Linked DNA regions of Kluyveromyces lactis. The protein of the gene in region 2 interacts with the protein of the main gene of each other region in a pairwise test. Links are inferred from orthologs where the notes say so. Each region holds a gene or a part of one and is shown on either strand. Other genes may lie near its edges.

Region 1 (4,415 bases), on a different chromosome or scaffold from region 2:
TTCAATATCTACATAAAAAATGGTATGTACGCAACTTGGAAGCACCTTTTAAACTTACTTCGAGATTCTTGTCTTCATGTTTTGTAAGAATTCTCTGTAGTTCCAGCTGTTTTGGACCTTATCTTCGACCAACTGAGATGCAGTCCATAATCTTAGAGAAGCAACTTCCCTGGCAGAAGGATGGTTCATTGGTTCACTTGGTGAGGCGCCTCTGACAATGTGCAAGGTTTTGTAGAAGATAACATCATCGTGTTCTCTTATCTTTGTAATAACATTCCTCACTCTTAGGTTGAACTCAGTAGCGTCTAATAGAGGTAGTTCATTTTTACCAATTGGAATTTCCATAATGTCCGGGGTTCCAAACACGTCTGTAACAAGCTCTGGGACAGCATCACCGCCAATCCATAAGAACATGTCCAATCCTGTGTCGATTAAATACAGACCGTATCTTTCCAATAAAGACGAGGTGGAGTTAATTGGTTGCGGTAGTACAATTTCACCAGTTTCTTCATCGGGAAGACCAGCTTCGTCAGGCATGTCATGTAAGGAGTATACTGTTGGATAAATGTTTTGAATCAAATATGGCAATGGTAACGTTTCAAGATTATTTAATGCTTGAGCTCTGTGATCAGCCGGAACAATACCAGAACGGAAAGCCATATGTTTAGTTAGAGAATGCATCAATAGAGGCCACATTCTTAGGTTACTACAGAGCATTAATGGAGCTCCGCCACCTGTGTTTGAAGTCAAAACTTCTTTCTTGTATGTAGCCAAAACCTCTTGGACAGATTTGTTGAAAAATTCTCTAGTGTCTTCAAAGCCAGAAGAAGGAGCTCTTTCCACAGCCTTTTGAGCGAAGTATGCTGTGATGGCCAACTGATCTGCAGAAGCATAGACTTCAGTTAGCTTATCAGTAGTTGGAATACCAATAGTTATGACTCTAATTCTTCTTTGGGCAGCATTGGATGTCAATAATAAAGCAATTTGAATGTACACAAAGTCCTTTGTTAATTGTTCATCGATACCAATTTCAAAAACGTATGATTGGTCCCTTGGAACCGTAGCCAAAGCGCACAAGTCTGAAGATCTATTGAAGAAATGACCGTAAAATCCGGTCATTTTCAAGCCTGACGAACCACGAGCTCTCATAACAGCTTCCAAAGATAGATCCATGGATACGTGTTTTGAAAATTCTTTTGAGAACTTTGTAACATCGATCAAGTTTAAGGCACTGAAACCAGGGTAGAAATGGGTTTGGCCACCAGTGAAACGGCCTAGGTTAGAGATAGATGCGATATCGACATAATCGTCGGAAGCCATAAACATATCCACCGTAACTTGATATTTGTTACATTCGATAGGGAAAGATTTGTAGAATGCGTCACCAGTGTTCAATAAAGTGGAAGCTTCCTTGGAAGTATTTGCAACAGCCTTTTCATTTCTCTTATGTAATGTACCTTCACCGACGTTGGCCAAAGTGGCACCAACAACAATAATCTTACCACCCTGAGCTCTGATCAAGTTCAAAGCAGACTTTAGAGCAGAGGCCAAGGCAAATCTTGGTTGAATATTTTGTTGGAAAATTTCTGGTAAGCTAGTCAATAATTTTTCAATGTTGCTTCTAGCCTCAATTAGTGGAACCAATAGGCCAGTGGGAGAAGGTAAGAATGGTTCATCCAAGTCAGCGACGTCGTACATCTTAATGTTGTCACCTTCTTCGTCCAAAGGAATACGGAAGTAATGTAGAGATTGATCAACACAAATAATAGAGATTCTTGTTCTCTCATCATGGTTTGGAATGGTATCCAAGCTTTCCAAGAGAGTTCTTGCAGCAGTAGCCAACAAGCCATTCTTGATTGATGCCTGAGAAACGTCCAAAATGAAAGCGTAAGTGGATGGTGGTGGTGGTCTGACAGCGTATTCTTTAGGAGCAACGAAATCCACAACAGAATGGTTGAATTCGGGTCTCTCGTAACGGTTACCATTCATATCAATTGCTTGAGGGAAGTTGTTCGCCAAGTTACAGAAGTTACATCTCCAACGTAAACCATTCTCGATTACTTGTACGAAGGGGTTCAAGTAGGCACGACAACGTCTACAACGAACCACAACACCGTCTTCGCTAGTTGGCACTGGACATTCAGAGTCGGTTAACTTAGTGTATGGTCTGATAACCATAGCTAATGGTAGTTTCGATTTTTTCAGTAAAGAATTGTTTTTTGGAACGGCGTTCAAAGTGCACCTTAAATGGTCAGAACAATTGTTAACTGTATCGTTAGGAACAATCATCTTCTCTGGAGGGAGCATCAACGGTGGTGGAGGCAAAGACAAGTCAGTGATTGGAGGAGGCAATTCTTGGAACAAATCAACTGGGTACAATTGATTCATTGGTTTACCCACAGCCATTCCTACTCCTGGTTGTTGATATTGTGGTTGCTGCTGCTGTTGTCCGTACGTTTGCCCATACGGCTGTTGCATTGGCTGCTGATACTGCTGCTGAACACCGGATATGTTATCGGCGCCGTAGCCACTGTTCATTGGCTGGCCATATTGAGGAGCCCCACCGTATGGTGGTTGTTGCACCGGGGTTCCAGCTTGCTGGAATGCAGTAGGATCAACCACAGGAACGTTGTGTAATTGCATATTACCAATGCCGTTACTTGCTTGGTCGATCTGTTGATGCAAATGTTGTTGAGCAGGAGTCAGAAATTGCGGCTGTCCAGCACCTACAGTTTGCGGAGGAACACCTCCACCAACAATTGGCTGTGCAATCCCTTCTGCAATTTGGTACTGAGCCTGAGGATAAACACGCTTCTTATGGTGTGACATGGTTCAGTATAATTTGATCTCCTGTATCACTCGATTGTCTGTAACTCTTTCTCTTTTATCTGCAAAAAATACAATGCAAAGAGCCTTCTCCTTTATAAACTTCTGATAAGTCGCCTAGATCCTGACACAGTTATTGACTCTACCAAGTTGAAGATCCAAAAGAGTAGATGCCTCAATCGATGGCAATTGAATATCAAATGTGTGTATTGTTTTTATAATTTTCGGCCCGTTTTGTTATTGTCGAAGAATCGAAATTTGGGTTTTTGGATTTTTGAAATTTTTTTTTTATTTGGTTTCCTTTCAAGATAACTGCTAAATAAACTGACGCGGTTTGAGAGGCTTTTTCCAGCGTATGTATATGGTTGCTGCTTTATTAGCCAATTGCTCAGTCGATGTTAGCTACATATATTGTATTTCTTTGATCATTGACATATGTGTATTGTATGCTGCAGTTCGTATTTGTATATTGACAGCTGTCAGATTTTAATAATAATATTCGGGTAACATCATAGTTCGTGTTCTCTCAGAATCACATAGTTAAGTAATTAATGTCGACGTGGTCATTGTAGAAGATAAAACTTTCGGGCAGATTGTGGGTCACTGATACTCCCTCCAGACACTGTACGGGCTTTAACGAACCTACCTGTGGTTATGCAGTGCTTTATTTGTTGATGGATATTTAGAGATATAAACCTTGCTATATCACGTGATATGAAAGTTCGAGGTCTGCTTATTTTATTTACAATGTGCGTAGATTTTGGATCAGATCTTTAAACAAGATGTCTCGAAGGTAAAACGATTTTAAATACGAGCAATCCATCCATTGTTCCTAGTATTCGATATCATAAGGTTCTACACTGGTAATTCAGCTAATACCTGTGACTGACACTCAAATCTGCTTCTTTTTCCCACTGGTACACCATAGAATACCCTTAATTAAATCAAGTGATGTCCCAAATCCAATTTTACAACATCAAGAACGGAGAAGAGGTTCATACACCCGCACTTATTGTCCACGGAAATATAAATACAAATGCCAATTCTGTCCAAGTGCATCATTCGCAGCTCCCTCCCTTAACGTTTCCCGTTAACAACCACGGATTCAAGTGCATTATTTCTTTGACTCCTGGTGAAAACTTACTATGGTTCACTGGAAATGACAATTCTACGGCGCAATTAACTATTCAATACGTACCATTGTTACAGAACCCGCCAATTCATCTATGTCTACTACTCGCTAAAGATTCTCCTCTGAAATATGATGCACCAGCTGTACAGATTCGTAAGGAGGGTGGTAACGGTCTCGATTTGGCCATAAAGAAATTGAGAACTGGTGCACGGATCATGCAAGCTTTCACTAATGAACAAATGGTTCGTAACGGCGTCGGTCAAAGAACTTTCCGATTCGTGGAAGAATTCACGAAGGATACCCTCCTAAAGGATGACGAGTTAAGAAACACCGTTAAGATTCATATTCTAAAAAGTGAGAAGACTACCGTGGAGCTAAGAGATATTAATATCGCACAACAGAATCCTAATGCAAAAGATGCAGGTGGCTTATTTGGTATAGCTATGAAGGAATTAGA
Region 2 (3,103 bases):
TCCTTGAGCAGAACAACTAGCTGCCATCAAAGCAGCCAAACCAAATCTAACGGTATTCTTGAACAACATCTTTGTCTTTGCGATTCTATCGATCTCTTATACTATCAGACTACACCGAAACTAGTTCTTGAAAACACCCGATTCCAATTGCGTGCGTTGTAAAAGAGGAAAGATTATCAACGGAGTTGTTAACTTGACGGAAAGATCAAAAACTGAATGAATGATAAAGTACAGACTTATCTTTACTCATAATTAACTATTAACACGAGAAGATCGAAGTTACATGGCAAATCTAGTTTATATATACCTTTTTTTTCTTTTACCTAAGGTGGCCGTGTACTTGGAGGCAACAGTACGAAAACTCGAAAAAAGCACCAAAATGACAGAGTGGTATTATGGGAAGGATATGTACATGCGGGTAACGAGTACTCTGAATTTCATAGATTATCGTTGATCTTTTGACATTACGTATGCACATTTACCGATCGCTGCACCATAGAAGTTACTAGATGAGAGCGGTTGTTATACTTGATGGTATATACAATTGAAGTATACTTTATACTTTAATATATCGATATAGCAGAGCCCTTAAGGATCTTACTGCTTCTGTTACTCTTTTTTTTCTTCTGTATATTGATTCAGTCTGAAGCCGTATTACTAGCAGTAGAAGAAGCTGGAGGTGGAGGAGGAGGGGTTGCCTTTGATGAGGATCTTGGTGATTGATCTTTTCCCTCTTGGAAGTAGTCAGCCATTGATGCTGAAGCAGCCGCAGCATTGGTAGTGTTCGAACCGCGGTGAAGCTGTGCTTGTCTTCTTCCAACCGGAACTGGTACCTGAAGTGGGTTTGAAGGCATCGTTTCTTTATTATCCGCATTATTAGCCAACGTCGCAGGAATTAAAGTTGGTTGTGTAATTGGGTGGATGATGTTGTTTGAATTGTGAGATTCAACGGCTGCTGGAGAGTGGATAATTGATTGTGAATTTTGGATAGGTGCCGGGATTCTGTGCAAGAAACCGTAGCCAACGTTGCATCCAAGCCTTCCGTCAGCAGCAAGGTGTACCGTCACAGGTCTTACGCAATCCACGGCTTTGTTGTATACGTATAGTACTAAAGAATGGTTCGCTCTTGATCTGACAATGTCTTGTAACAGATGCTCACCGCCAGTTGCTAGCAATCCATCTTGGCATGCGATAATGTAATCCTGATCTGGAATCAATCCTGCTTGCATAGCGGGTCCGTTTTCAATGTTTAGTTGTAAAACATGGTAACTATACGTAACAGCGATTAATGGGGTCCATTGCACTTTGAAACCTAACGCTTCAAACATCTTAGAAGTCATTAGGGATTGTTGCGCATCTGTTTCATCCAACGGGATCTCGCTCACAGAGTTTTTCGCCGAGACGTAAAGATACTCCTCTCTGTAAACACCCCCTTTACCAGACCATACATGTAACTTGATAGTGTTGCCACAATGCTCATTGAAGAATGATATAATCCTTTTATAATCTGGGTAGAACGTCTGTGATGCACCCATGGTACCATCCTGTACCAAGGGGATCGGTTGGTTATTGAAACCAATGATATAATCAAAGAACGAAGTTAATTGCAATTGCGACTCGTCAACTTGTACCACTCTTAAACCATATAGAGAATCCGTTTGATGAGCATATCTAGGGTCATCTTCCCTTATCGGGAACAATTGTGGTGGTACTGAATGAAAATATGAATCAATAGGTTTGTCCCCAACCGTTCCAGTAACAGACTCTTCAAGAGTTCTGACAAGATTTTTCGCTATTCTGAACATAATTATATTGCAATGACAAATATAACAGTTTCAAATCGGATAGCCGGTGTGCCAAGGTACTGTTGTAGGATCACCCCAGACTGGACTAGATTAGATCAGACGAGTATTTTCTACATTCAACCTTTGGCTAAAGATTTCAAAGAAAGAAAACATGCAATAGGAAAACGGAAACCATTTTGGAGTTTTCAGAAGCATTTCACGTGACCTACAAACAAAACGCTAATGGTTCATTTCATACCGGTGGAAATAGCAGCCAAACATCAACGTAACGCTCTGACAATGGACTATCGGGCATGCTAGACGATCGAGATAGTCTTTAAGTAGAAACGACAATCTCTACCTTCAGGAGCCTTACAATTTTCTCACCTTCTTCCCATCCATTCAACGCGAAAGGAAACTTAAAAGTACAATTGCAAATGTGCTACATAGTATTATCTCTACATTGTTTCGACTGACGTATTCAAAGCTGAAATAGTAGTACTTTGAATTCTTTTTATCAGTTTCAGGACTCTACATTCCCACCCCACCTAATTAACAACCTGCCTTTCAGCATTGATACACGTGAATTCCCGGTGATTGCCCAATCGGTAGGCAAGCCGCGAAACGGCTTTTAAGGACACTGGTGCGTATCTATCCACAACAACGAGTACAGGTTCGTATATACATGTATAAACTGGTCTAGCCCAGAGCACTCACTGGTTCGTATATACCATGATCTTCTGAGCCAATACACACATTCGGCCCATAAGGTCAACCAAAACGTGACCCCGCATTTTCTTATGCGTCAATAACGTTGTTTGTTCGAGTAGCCAAGAGTAACGGTAACGGCGACCGTGACTAACAGGTGACAATTTTCAAATATTCTAAAAACCGTGAAAAAAACAGTTTCAACTGGAGATGGTGCGCAGTTTCTTCTACTTTATAATATAAGAGAGTGACTGTAGTTGAGAAAGGATAATTCATACTTTTTACTTTGTAGAAAAGATCAAGGATTCTTGTTAAAGAGTAGACAAGACACGACAAGACAAGCTAAAAGAATAACAACTAGAGCATAATGTCAGATCCTAAGTTAACCAAGGCGGTTGATTCTATATGCGATCAGTTCATTGTTACTAAATCGAAGATATCTCAGTTGACTGAGTATTTCATCGATTGTATGGAAAAGGGATTAGAACCCTGTGAATCAGATATCAGTCAAAACAAAGGGTTGCCTATGATTCCGACGTTTGTGACTGACAAGCCATCCGGTCAGGAACATGGAGTAACCATGTTGGCAGCTGATTTAGGTGGTACTAATT
Region 3 (3,018 bases), on a different chromosome or scaffold from region 2:
AGCCAGTTATTTCTAGTTGTAGATTGATATCAAAACCAAACTTGAGAATCAGTCTAGATGCACATGATTTGAAGAAACTATGTTCAGGTACCTCCGTCAGATTGATCAAACCTTTGGCTCCTGGTGAATTAATTTTAGTGAAATCTGGGAATGAAATTATGGATATCGATGATGCTATCGCCAAGAAAGTCGGTGGTGAAGTGCTATGCAGAATTAGGTGAATCATCAGTAAAATTCCCAGCAATAAAGACCATTAGTCATATAATCAAAAACAAAGTGCAGAATATTTCATCAACATGTGTGATGGACCATCGAAACTTCCAATATCATCAAAAGGAAATCCACCTCATATTCCATGTATATAGTAACATTCAATCAGTGCGATTTTCCTTTTAGCGACAATCATCAATCGTGTCAAATATCAGTTTTATACATACACTAATATAATTGTATACTTGTACATTATAGCATTATATTTGCCTAAACGAGACAAATGAGACAAATCATAAAAAAATCATAGCTCTGTGGTAATAGTAACAAGGCTGAAACTTACTTAAAATTCCACAACTGGGCCAACACCAACTGATCTCCAATTTGTCATATCGACATTCCAGTTCTTCCACTTAGCTAACATAACAGGGTCTGTCGTTGGATGCTGAATCTGTCTCGATGGCTCGAATTTGGATGGAGAATGTCTATCAAAGGAAGAGAATTCCACAGGGGTTAGTTGTGGTGATTGTGTTGCTCTAAGCTGCTCTACTTCTTGTCTAGACGTAGATAGCTCCTGCTGAGCGGACAGCAATTGTACAGTTTTATCATTGAGTTGAGATTTCATGATGTTTATCTGTTCTTCAAGCTCTTCTATGGAGCTTTCTTGATCTATGTTGACAAACTTCAATTGCTTTACTTGATCTTTTAGCTTTGAAACTTCTTCCTTGAGGTTTATTACTTCATCTTGGCTTTTCTGTTCTTGTATCGTCGAAAGGAAATCTTTCTCTTTATCATCATTCCCGCCAAACAATTCTTCAACTTCATCTGTACTTTTTGCCTCTATTGGTTCTTCCTCTTTTTGTTGAACTGCAAAAGCTTCTTTAGACACTTCCTCGGTTGGGTTGGGTATATCAGTTGCTTCCTTCTCGAGGACTTCCTCCTCGGAGTCTTTCTTGTTCTCCGCAGACTCTTTTTCAGACTTCTCCACAGACTCCTTTTCAAACTTCTCTTCGTTGTTGTCATTGCCCTTTGCATCAGCATTTATCTCAGCCTTTTCTTCAGCTTTTGTCTCTTCCACGATTGGTTGTTCATCTGAATGAACCGGACTCTCTGATACATTAGTATCAGTCGGTTCCAATTCAGTTTCAGTTTCAGTTTTGACTTCAGCTGCTTCAAGATCTTCCTTGTCCTTCTTCTTCTTATTCTTCTTGTTTTTATTCTTCTTCTTTAACTCTTCAACCCTTATCTTGGCTTCTTCGAGCTTTCTGGCTCTTTCTTCCTCGGGGGATAGTTCAGACATAATCAACTGTTCGAATGTGTGTACTCACTTGCATTGAAGACGCCAATTGGTTTTAATATTTAGCTCGCAATTGTTTCAGATTTGGCATTCACCATGTAAATTCTTATTTCATATGGGGCAACTTTTTTTTTTGATCTAAACGTGTCGTTATGGTTCACACATATTTAATAAGAAAGGAATCACCATCATTGAGGCAAACATCGATCAAATAATATCGTTTAATTTCACAATGTTTCAAAGCCATTTAGGTTCGAAAGAGAACAAGATTCAAGACTTTTTGAGAAGCAAACTCAAAGTATTTGTACCATGTTCTTTATTATTCGGTATGCGATTGGTAAATATCAAATTATTATCACCACCGTATATAGTGACGTGTTCTTTAAAAGAACGTAGAAGAAGTCTTCAGCAAGATATTTAGCATTTGTTGTCACTTTTAGTGGCGACATGCGTAGATAAACAGAAGTTTTACAACTAAGACGCCCTCTTATTTCAACTGTAGGAATAACAATCAGTAAGTGTGTAAACCTGAGACCAAGTAAAGCGGAAAAGTACAATGGATTTAACAGTTGAACCAGATCTAAACTCTTTGATAACTTCCTCAACACACAGATGGATATTTGTCGGTGGTAAGGGTGGTGTCGGTAAGACGACGTCATCTTGTTCGATTGCCATTCAAATGGCTTTGGCACAACCAGAGAAACAATATCTATTGATTTCTACAGATCCTGCACACAATTTAAGCGACGCCTTCGGTGAGAAGTTTGGTAAAGATGCAAGAAAAGTCACTGGGATGAACAACTTGTCATGTATGGAGATTGACCCTTCTGCCGCTTTGAAGGATATGAATGATATGGCTGTTGCCAATAATGCAACTGGATCGGGAGAGTTCAGTGATCTTTTGCAAGGTGGTGCACTATCTGAATTGACAGGATCGATTCCAGGTATTGATGAGGCACTTTCTTTCATGGAAGTGATGAAACACATCAAAAACCAAGAACAGGGTGAAGGTGACAGGTATGATACCGTTATTTTTGATACCGCACCAACAGGTCACACTCTAAGGTTTTTACAGTTACCAAGCACTCTATCTAAACTCTTGGAGAAATTCGGAGAAATCACTGCAAGATTGGGACCAATGTTGAATTCTTTGGCTGGTGCCAATAACGTCGATCTTGTTGGTAAAATGAGTGAATTGAAGTCTAATGTGGAAAAAATCAAGGAACAATTCACCAATCCTGATATGACAACTTTTGTCTGTGTTTGTATCAGTGAGTTCTTGTCTTTGTACGAAACTGAAAGATTGGTACAGGAATTGATCTCATACGATATGGACGTGAACTCCATCATTGTAAACCAGTTATTATTTGCTGAGTATGACGAAGGAGACAGCTGTAAAAGGTGCCAATCCAGATGGAAGATGCAAAAGAAGTATTTGGACCAAATTGATGAATTGTACGAAGATTTCCATATCGTTAAGATGCCATTGTGTGCAGGTGAAATTAGAGGTT

Evidence for each region.
Region 1: the proteins of GRH1 (region 2) and KLLA0_F03729g interact in binary tests that used the Saccharomyces cerevisiae proteins (3 or more experiments, as listed by UniProt). The link is inferred for Kluyveromyces lactis from reciprocal best matches to the Saccharomyces cerevisiae genes GRH1 and SEC24.
Region 3: the proteins of GRH1 (region 2) and BUG1 interact in binary tests that used the Saccharomyces cerevisiae proteins (3 or more experiments, as listed by UniProt). The link is inferred for Kluyveromyces lactis from reciprocal best matches to the Saccharomyces cerevisiae genes GRH1 and BUG1.

Annotation. Positions count from the first base shown.
Region 1 is NC_006042.1:351,662-356,076, forward strand, and holds KLLA0_F03729g (uncharacterized protein), read right to left. Parts: upstream 2,830-4,415; coding exon 55-2,829; downstream 1-54. Other genes in the region: KLLA0_F03751g (putative metalloendopeptidase), read left to right, coding at 3,778-4,415. UniProt on the Saccharomyces cerevisiae protein: Component of the coat protein complex II (COPII) which promotes the formation of transport vesicles from the endoplasmic reticulum (ER).
Region 2 is NC_006039.1:85,225-88,327, forward strand, and holds GRH1 (Grh1p), read right to left. Parts: upstream 1,806-3,103; coding exon 639-1,805; downstream 1-638. Other genes in the region: protein disulfide isomerase PDI1, read right to left, coding at 1-69; KLLA0_C01155g (uncharacterized protein), read left to right, coding at 2,860-3,103. UniProt on the Saccharomyces cerevisiae protein: Involved in the spindle assembly checkpoint. Involved in ER to Golgi vesicle-mediated transport by either facilitating USO1-dependent and -independent tethering or increasing target accuracy of fusion events of COPII-coated vesicles.
Region 3 is NC_006041.1:142,704-145,721, forward strand, and holds BUG1 (Bug1p), read right to left. Parts: upstream 1,511-3,018; coding exon 554-1,510; downstream 1-553. Other genes in the region: MRPS8 (mitochondrial 37S ribosomal protein uS8m), read left to right, coding at 1-221; guanine nucleotide exchange factor GET3, read left to right, coding at 2,064-3,018. UniProt on the Saccharomyces cerevisiae protein: Involved in ER to Golgi vesicle-mediated transport by either facilitating USO1-dependent and -independent tethering or increasing target accuracy of fusion events of COPII-coated vesicles.